Rattus norvegicus: one gene and its partner. Each later gene encodes a partner of the first gene's protein in a complex. Links are inferred from orthologs where the notes say so. Each region holds a gene or a part of one and is shown in the gene's direction. Other genes may lie near its edges. The genes, in order: Wdpcp and Fuz.

Region 1 (4,583 bases):
ACTTATCTCCTAGCAGGGATTACGAAGTGTAATACAGTCCTGGTAAATGGGAAGAATAAAGAGACCCTCATGCAAGCCTTGTGACCTTGAGCAACTTGTATTCTGGGTATCAACAAACTAAATTTTAGTATTTGAAGTAGGGTTTTGGATAAGATGATTTTTAAAAAGGTTTTCACATAGGTCTAATAGCCTAAAGTTCGAAGTTCTTGGATAACTAGTGCCGTTTTATGACTAAAATTATTAAGGTAGAAACTGCTTAAGCCATAATTTAAATAACTACTTATGTGCAAAAATAACTAGGCACTGATGACAGAAAATTAATAGTTATCCCCTTACGGTCTCTTATAGAGGTTAAGAGGAGTTTTTGTCTTTGTTTGAAAACATGTCTTTTTGGGTTCTGTGAAATTTCCAGTCCATCCAAAAAATTTCCAATTCATCTCACACATCTTGAAATTAAAGGAGAACAAGTATTTTTAAAATGTAAATTCTAAAGTACGTAGCAATTTCCAGTCTGGTGGCAAATGTCACCTTCAAACAGCACGAAGATTAGTCCTACGTCAGAGCTCTTTCACCCCCCTCCCCCGCCCCCAGCTGGGGACAAGATAGATCTAGAGCTTCGACAAGATGGTTGCGTTACATCTGCAAGAAGGTTTTTGGAATTCATGACGGAGTAGTAAAGAATACCCGCACTGTTTGACTAGCTACGCTAACCAGTCCTGGCATTACAAACGGAGATCAAGAATAGGTTTTCAGAAACATCTGTTTTCTTTTAAATTAAATATGGTGGAAACATGTCTCCTGAAAACTGGGATCATAACCTGGGGCACTGCCTCAACATCAGAGGCCTATTCTTTCCATGAGCTTAAGAGGCAAAATAGAGTTAGGACCCGATCTTCCCCTCCCATCAAATCACATCCCCCACATCAAATCCTTTAACGTCCTTCGGAGAAAATTTGGTCCCTCAGTCATGTGCAAAGATTGAGACCCGCCTTTCCAAGGACAGCGATTTCTCTAGAGTGCTTTTAAGAACCCCCAAGGGAAGCGAAACCCTTTCCAATTTCTGGGTTACTGCGACAGTCGCGAGGGTGAGTCGGATTTGCAAACCGCGCGAAGGACAGCGCCTGGCATTACTGCTTTTCTAAAGCGCATCAAGCGCAGGAGGCCGAGAGGCCGGAGCCGCTGCAAGTTCCAGGAGCCCACACTCACCATTATTGCAAACTGCAAGGCCGATCTCTGCACCAGCAAAGACAGTCTCCAGCAGTCAGGTCACCTCTACAGCGGAACAGACTCTGGGAGACAGAGCCGGGCTGGTCAGGAAAGGTTCGGCTAAAGCCCCGGCCATTTCTGGGAAGTGTAGTTCTTCTGGGGCTCTCTGGCGCCCACCTTCGTGCATTCCTGACAGAACTAAACTACAATACCCAAAAACCTCTTCTTCCTACGCGCCTCGCGGACTGCAAAGTAGTCCCCGGGGCTGAGCCTCTGTGATTGGAGCACGACTGCGAGCAGAGGGTTGGTGCTTTGGATGAGGCGCCTGCCTGACGTCGCTCACCAATTGGCGGGAGGGGAGGCGTTAACTCGAGGGAGGAGAAACGACCCCTGAGCGACAGCACCCGCCACTCCACCGAGAATCTATCCTCCCCCAAGACTAAACAAGGGAGGCAAAGAGACCTTCCGTTGCAAAAAAAAAAAAGCCAGCTCGACCCGGAAACAAAACCTTTTAAAAACGCACTCTCTCAGAGGCGGGAGGAATTGACGCTTGCGGAGGAACCGGCAGCTTCACCGTTGCTAGGCGACAGGGAAGGCTCACCTGAACGCTCTCGGAACCGAGACAGAGTGGAGCTGCGTCCCCACGCCTGAAGCAGGTGAGCTCGGCCGGGAGGGATTTTCTTTTTATCTAGGGGCCAGAGCAGGGCGCGGCACGGTTGTTCGTATCCTGAATCCGTAGTCGGCAGGCGTGGGCGACCTCTCGAGTCCCCTGTTGGGGTCAGGAGTGGATGCCACAGTTTTCTGGAGGGAAGAGTGTCTTGCAGTTTGAGTTCAGTCCAACTTTTCCAAAGTAAAGTCAGAAAGGTTTGTGGAGTGAGCCCCTTCCCTGTAATAGCCGGTGGTGCCGGGATCTAACTTTCTTTGCCTACTGTGAACACTGACACTTTTTGCTCATTCTCTTTTTGGAAACTGGATGAGCTTTACAAACGTCTTGATAAAGTTTTGCCAGACCCGTTATTTCCAGGGGAGATTGGGACACACTGGTTGTTTCAGGCGGAATGTTAGCGGCTAAAACAACTCAAGAGGTTTTCACTGAAAATCAAAGTTGTTAAGGTGAATTTCTGCATTCTCTGTTTTGAGCGGATATTCGAAAAGACGCGAAGCTTCGGAACAGATCAGTGAATATGGTATTGGTCTAACTTCAGAATTTAACGTCACTAGAAAATGGATGCTGGATGGCTTCAGTTTTGTTTTTGTATTTAGTATTTGGAGAAAGAAACATAATGCCTTAGGGTCTATTTTAGTTAGGGCTTCCACTTCTGCGATGAAACGGCCTGACCAAAAGCAGGTTAGGGGCAAAGGATTCATTTGTCTTACACTTCCACATTTTGGCTCATCATTCGAGGAACTCAATACAGGTAGGGACCTGGAGGGCATGAACTGTTGCAGAGACCATGGAGGGGTGCCGCTTACTGGCTTGTCGCTCTTGGCTTGCTCAGTCTGCTTCCTTATAGAACCCAGGACCACCAGCCCAGGGATGGCACCACCCATAATGGGCTGGGCCCTCCCTCTTCAACAGTAATTAAGAAAACACCCCATGGGCTTGTCTACAGGCTGATCTTATGGTGGAAGCATTTTTTTCAGTTGAGGATTCCTCCTAACTTAAGACTGTATTAGCTTGTGTCAGGTTGACATAAAACTGCTGGGTCCAATAGCATTTAGGTTTCAATAGACTGTATCTCACTCGAATGGCTCCTAGAATCACTTTATTCACTTGGTGCCTTCCTTTTGTTCTTGAGCACTAATCTTTTTACGTTGGAATGCTTCCTGTGTCTCTGTCCACACTTAGTTCATTTGTGGGTTGCGTTTCTAAACGTTACCTCAGTGTCAGAGACTCTCTGATTCCAGGGCATGCCTCTGTACGTTCTGTTTCTCCTTGGTTTTCTAGTAGGCATTAGTTCGGTTGCTTTATAGTCTTACCTACTGAGGAACCATGTGTGGATACATCACACTTTTGATAGAGAGAGCACGACTTGCCTCCAGTTTCACTTGATGGCTGAGGGAGAGATTACAGGATTTCGAAGTGAAGAGCCAAGGGCTGGAGCTGATTTAATGCTGACCTGATAAACCTGCCACGGGACCTTAGGATAGCAGTCTTAGGAACCACCGTAGCATGGAACAAAACTTTGTAATTCCTAATGGTAACATGGTGATCTCGTCATTGTTAAAAGATGGGCTCTGTCTTGGAAGCCTCTCATAAGGGGTTAGGCAGCTACGGTGAGGACACAGAGCTGTGTGTGTAGTGCTGTGGTGGGCTGGTTAGTTTTCATTGATTTGACAGAAACTAGAGTCACTCGGAAGGAGAGAATCTCCTGAGTGCTGGGATTAATGGTTACCACTGCTGTAACTTGGGGGAAGAAAGGGTCTTTTTGGCTTATGTGTTCACACTCCATTGTTGTTCATCATTGAAGGAAGTCTGGACAGGCGTGCAAATATGAAAGGTAGTTGAACAAACCAGTGAGCAGCATTTTTTTTTTATGGTCTTTGCTTCAGTTTCTGCCTTGGGTTTCACTAATGAAATACTGTGAAATGGAGGTGTAAGTTGAAGTAAACCTTTCCCCCCCCCAAGTTGCTTTCAGTCAGTGTTTTATCACAACGTTTGGTGGAAGACAGTCATTACCCAGAACAGAAGCGTGTCCTTAGAGTGAGCTCATCTTCAGGGAACCATTTCTTCTACTATTGGATTTCCTGTGACATGCGTAACTTCTGAAATGCGGACTGATCAGGAATGGGCCTTGCAAAGCCAGGAAGCCCGATTCTTTGCCTCAGCCATTGTCTTCTATCTTGAAGAATCCATGTTTACAGTCAGGATGTGTTTATGACTGTTCAGACTCAGATTGTACCAGTAATAGAGGTTGGAGAAAGAGGAGCCTACTAAGGTGTCTATTTTAATACATCCTTAGCTTTCTTTTTTTCTTTTTTAAGATTTATTCATTTATTTTATGCATCAGTACACTGTAGCTATCTCAGACACCCCAGAAGAGGGCATCAGATCTCATTACAGATGGTTGTGAGCCACCATGTGGTTGCTGGGACTTGAACTCAGGACCTCTGGAAGAGCAATCAGTGCTCTCAACCTGAGCCATCTCTCCAGCCCCATCCTTAGCTTTCTTATCTTGCCTGAGCCAAGGCTTCTTACCAGCCAACATCTAGTTCTTCTCACAGTTCTCCATTTTGGATTCTTTTTTGGCTTAAGTCCATCTCTTCTTTTTCTTCTCACGTGTATGTGCTGTGTGTGTGTTTGTGTATGTTTGCATATGTGTGAGTGCACATGTACCTGAAGATACCCTTGTGTGTGTGTGTGTGTGTGTGTGTGT
Region 2 (4,558 bases), on another chromosome or scaffold:
GTTCCAAGGTATCCAACACCTTCATCCATTTTTTTTTTTTTTGGTTCTTTTTTTTTTCGGAGCTGGGGACCGAACCCAGGGCCTTGCGCTTCCTAGGCAAGCGCTCTACCACTGAGCTAAATCCCCAACCCCACCTTCATCCATTAAAGCAAGACACCAGTGCACATGAAATAAAAATAAATAAACCACTAAAAATGTTTTCTAATATGCATAATAAAAAAGCAATTGCTGTCAAACATACAGTAATCAAGCAGCTAAAACTGCTGCCTCAGAATTTACAGAATCAGCAAAGGGTGTGACAGTGGCAACACTGGGTTAGATCCAGCATAACCCCACCCTTGGCTACATAGCAATATTTTGTCTCCAAAAATTCTTTTGTTTTATTGTATCATTTGAAATTCATGGGGTTGGGGATTTAGCTCAGTGGTAGAGCGCTTGCCTAGCAAGCGCAAGGTCCTGGGTTCGGTCCCCAGCTCCGAAAAAAAGAAAAAAGAAAAAAAAAAAGAAATTCACCAGGAGAAATCTAATATTTGTCAATGGAAAATGTTCAAGTCCTTGAACTTATAGAAATTGATTATATAAAAAAAAAAACATTAGAAAGACAAGTGTTAGAAAAAGAATCAAAAGTTCAGGGCTACATATCGAGTCCCAGGTCTGCATGGGCCACATGAGACCACACCTCAAAAATACACTAAACAACAGTAAACAAAAAGAGAAAGAATGAGAGTGCCTGGCGTTTGCCATTCCAGGCCAAAGAATTGCCAGGAGTTCAAGGCCAACCTGGCCTACAGATTGCAACCCTCCCAGGAAATAGAAAATAAAGACATAAAGCTGTAGACATACTATTTTTAATTAGAAAATAAAATGTGATTATTATAGCGAGTACGCCATGGCACGCATAAGAAGGTCAGCTTTGTGGAGTGGGTTCTCTAATACAGTGATCTTATTTGTGAAAATCTGTCCTGGTCCCGCGATGCTAACTTCTATTGCTGCAATGGAAGGAAGTTTTCAGTGCTTTAACTTCCTTTTTTTTTTTTTTTTTTTTTTTTGGATGTAATAAGCAAAGGCAAGGTTTATTACGGAGATCTATTACGGGGATCTCCGGGCCGACACGTATCCCACGCAGGAGACAGAGGTGTCGACCGTGCTTTAACTTTCTTCACGCTATACCATCATAGGCATGAATTCGTTACAAAAATTATGTAGTTTTCATGATTTTGGAAAAGAAAGGTTCTCTTTTCTTCTGCCTTTTACTAATAACAAAAACAACCACCTCATTTGGTGGTTACTAGGCAACGCTGCCTGGATCAAACCACTCTGAAAAAAGGAGAGGGAGACGGTGGCACGGAGCTTCGGAGTTTTGAAACCGAAATTATTGTGAATGGTGGTTGCTAGGCAATGCCTGAGCATACCGCCATCTTTGATTAGGGCAAGGTATTTACCACTATGGAATGAAAAAGCCACGCTGACTGTCGTTGCCATTCAATGCCTTAGCACTGTCCCCATCTTCAACCCGTTGTTTAAAAAATGTATTACAGCACACAAGAAGGTTGGTAGGCAACGTCTTGTTACCACCACCGTCTTCAAGCTAGATTCTTCATTCTCGTTATACAAAAGATAAGAAACTGTCCGGGAACAACTTGAATGCTTGGCAAGAAGTACTTGTCGCCATCTTTATTAGGGTCATGATTACTTCCGGCCGGGGCGGGGCCGGACCAGTTGGAGGGGCTGAATTGATGATCCCGCTTCTCGCCCTTTGGCGGCTCCAAACAGCAGGCCACTTTGCCTACCCGCATGCTCCCAGATCCACACCGAGAGTCTCCAGGGGCGTGACTTTCCGGGTGCGGGCTTCGAGATGGGGGATGACGGGCCAGGAAGCACGGTGCATCTGCTGTGCCTCGCAGCCTCTAGCGGGGTTCCCCTGTTCTGTCGGAGCAGCAGCGGAGGCGCCCCCTCCCGTCAACAGGTGGGGGCATTCGACTCCTGCGTCTAAATTAGGATTTGGGAAGCTGGGACTGCATACATGCAGGGATTAGAGGCTCGCGCCCTTTAGCTGTTATGGGGGACTAATAAATCTGGTTTCCTGAAGAACTTTGGGGGAATATTGGGAGATTGCAACGTGGGACAGCGGGGTCTCAATGGGTCTTGGGTGCTACTGCAATGCTTCCCCACTCTTCCTCAGCTCCCTTTTTCTGTCATCGGGTCCCTCAATGGAGTCCACATGTTCGGCCAGAATCTGGATGTGCAACTGAACTCCGCAAGAACAGAAGACACCACCGTAGTGTGGAAGAACTTCCATGACAGGTCCCTTGGCGGGAGCAAGGGAACAAGATCTGAGCAATGGTTCCTGGCTTAGGTGATCCCAGAGGGATTCCCCACCCCCACCCCCATCAGGATGTAGCGAACAGTGTAGAAATAGCTGGGACACACGGAAGCGCCTGGCTCAGTTTCCCAGGCCTGACCTCATTCTTGCTTCTCATCTTTCATCCCCACAGCATCACCCTCATTGCTCTGTCATCTGAGGAGGGCACCTCTGAGCTGAAGCTGGAAAGAATGCTCCACATGGTGTTTGGGGCCATGGTGAGACTGGGCCCTCTTTTCTCCAAAACTCAAGAGAGCTGCACTCCCAGTCCTTTCCCCTCAGTCCAAATCCCTACATTTTTTTCTCACACCCAAGCATCCAAACAGCCCTCCTCCCTCATACCTAGCAATCCAGGAACCAGACCTCCTCCTTCATATGCAGGGATCCAGACCTGACTTTCCTCTCAATATCCATCCAAGCACTGTCCTCTCTGACTAGATCCTATTACAGATCCCACTATCCTATGTGACTCTTCTAGGTTCTCATTGTGGGACTTGAGGAGCTGACCAATATCCGGAATGTAGAGAGACTGAAGAAAGAGCTGAGGGTGAGGCTGTGAGATGTGAGTGCAGTTAGGATCCCTAATTCAGGCCTGTTTGTCTGAAACTACAATTCCCAGTAGGCACTGGGAAAGCATGGGCCCTTGGGTTCTTGGGAGAGCTTGTTTAACCCTGGAGCTGGCCCCAGTTTTCTCTGGGCTGATCTGGGCCCGCTTGGGTCCTAGACACCTCCTTTTTCCTCTACCAGGCCAGCTACTGTCTCATTGACAGCTTCCTGGGGAATTCAGAGCTCATCGGGGACCTGACCCAGTGTGTGGACTGTGTCATTCCTCCAGAGGGGTCTGTCATGCAGGTATTGGGGCAGCTATAGAAATAACTGTGTCCCCATGGTTCTACTCGGCCTTCCTTTATTTTCTCCCTCTGGACATTGCCCTAGCACCCTCTTATCGTCCTGGAATCATGTTTTATCTGTAACTCTAAAAGAACTGTCTTCGCCAGGGTACACTGACTGTTCGCCCGCAGCTTCCACCTCTCCAGTCTCCTCCACTTCACATGCTCCCTGCCTCTCTGCCTCACAGGGAGCATTTCTGTTTGAGCAGATCAATCTCTCTAAGACACAGTTCCCAGGCTGCCTTGAACTCGCTCTGTAGACCAAGCTGACCTCCAACTCACAAACATCTACCAGCCTTTGCCTCCGAGTGCTGGGATTAAAGGCATGCTCCACCACACCCACCCAGTCTTCCTCTCTTCAAGTTATGCCTCTCCTGGCAGTGTGTCCTGACCTCAGAGCTTCCATTGGTCAGCACTGTGCCTTCTCATCCAGTAGGGGATCAACTTGTAGATGTGTGGTTAAAACTATTGGCACTGCAGGGCCTCCTGGTGCAGGCCTGTCACTCCAGCTACTCTGGAGGCTGAGGAAGAGGATGCAACCTTTAAGGCCAGTCTAGGCAGCTCAGTGAACACATGACTCAAAACTTCAGTTGTGGCTCCACGGGAGAGCTGCCTAGCTAGCATGCCCAAAGCCTTGCGTTCCATCCCCATAACTGAAGGAGAAATAAATTAGAAAAAAAGAAAGAAAGAAAGAAACGAACAGGGCTGGAGAGATGGCTCAGTGGTTAAGAGCACTGACTGCTCTTCCAGAGGCCCTCAGTTCAAATCCCAGCAACCACATGGTGGCTCACAACCATCTGTAATGGGATCTTATGCCCTCTTCTGGTGTCTCTGAAGACAGCTACAGTATACTTATATATAAATCTTTTTTTAAAAAATAAACAGGGGTTGGGGATTTAGCTCAGTGGTAGAGCGCTTGCCTAGGAAGCGCAAGGCCCTGGGTTCAGTCCCCAGCTCCGAAAAAAAGAACCAAAAAATAAATAAATAAATAGATAAAATAAGTAGTGTATGAAGAATTGAGAATGCTGACGAACAGGAAAGTTAAAGCATCCCTATTTACAGAGAGGGTTTCAAACAGGAGCTTGGCAGCCTTGCATGCTGGAGTGTCTCTGGTCTCATGGCTGCTCTTCTCCTCCATGCCTAGCTAGGAAGGGAATGTCCCTCCTTGCCTAATGACATCTAGTCTGACCGTTTCACCAGGAAACCCTCTCAGGGTTCGCAGAGGCCACTGGCACAGCCTTTGTCAGCCTGCTGGTATCAGGCCGGGTGGTGGCAGCGACCGATGGCTGGTGGCGCCTAGGCATGC

Evidence for each region.
Region 2: the proteins of Wdpcp (region 1) and Fuz are in contact, whole or in part, in a cryo-EM structure (PDB 7Q3D), measured with the Homo sapiens proteins. The link is inferred for Rattus norvegicus from reciprocal best matches to the Homo sapiens genes WDPCP and FUZ. Residues at the interface, in NP_056994.3 of Homo sapiens: Arg55, Ile57, Asn75, Lys78, Leu82, Glu418, Asp419, Arg420, Leu421; in NP_079405.2 of Homo sapiens: His293, Glu372, Glu373, Pro374, Arg379, Gln397, Pro399, Thr400, His401, Gly402, Ser405, Leu406.

The regions. Positions count from the first base shown.
Region 1 is NC_086032.1:99,845,942-99,850,524, forward strand, and holds the start of Wdpcp (WD repeat-containing and planar cell polarity effector protein fritz homolog), read left to right. Parts: upstream 1-1,602; 5' UTR 1,603-1,862; intron 1,863-4,583. Other genes in the region: Mdh1 (malate dehydrogenase, cytoplasmic), read right to left, coding at 1,207-1,209. UniProt on the Homo sapiens protein: Probable effector of the planar cell polarity signaling pathway which regulates the septin cytoskeleton in both ciliogenesis and collective cell movements.
Region 2 is NC_086019.1:104,514,358-104,518,915, forward strand, and holds the start of Fuz (protein fuzzy homolog), read left to right. Parts: upstream 1-1,718; 5' UTR 1,719-1,855; coding exon 1,856-1,966; intron 1,967-2,182; coding exon 2,183-2,304; coding exon of another isoform or gene 2,305-2,356; intron 2,357-2,495; coding exon 2,496-2,580; intron 2,581-2,840; coding exon 2,841-2,909; exon of another isoform or gene 2,910-2,924; intron 2,925-3,109; coding exon 3,110-3,214; intron 3,215-4,452; coding exon 4,453-4,558. UniProt on the Homo sapiens protein: Probable planar cell polarity effector involved in cilium biogenesis. May regulate protein and membrane transport to the cilium.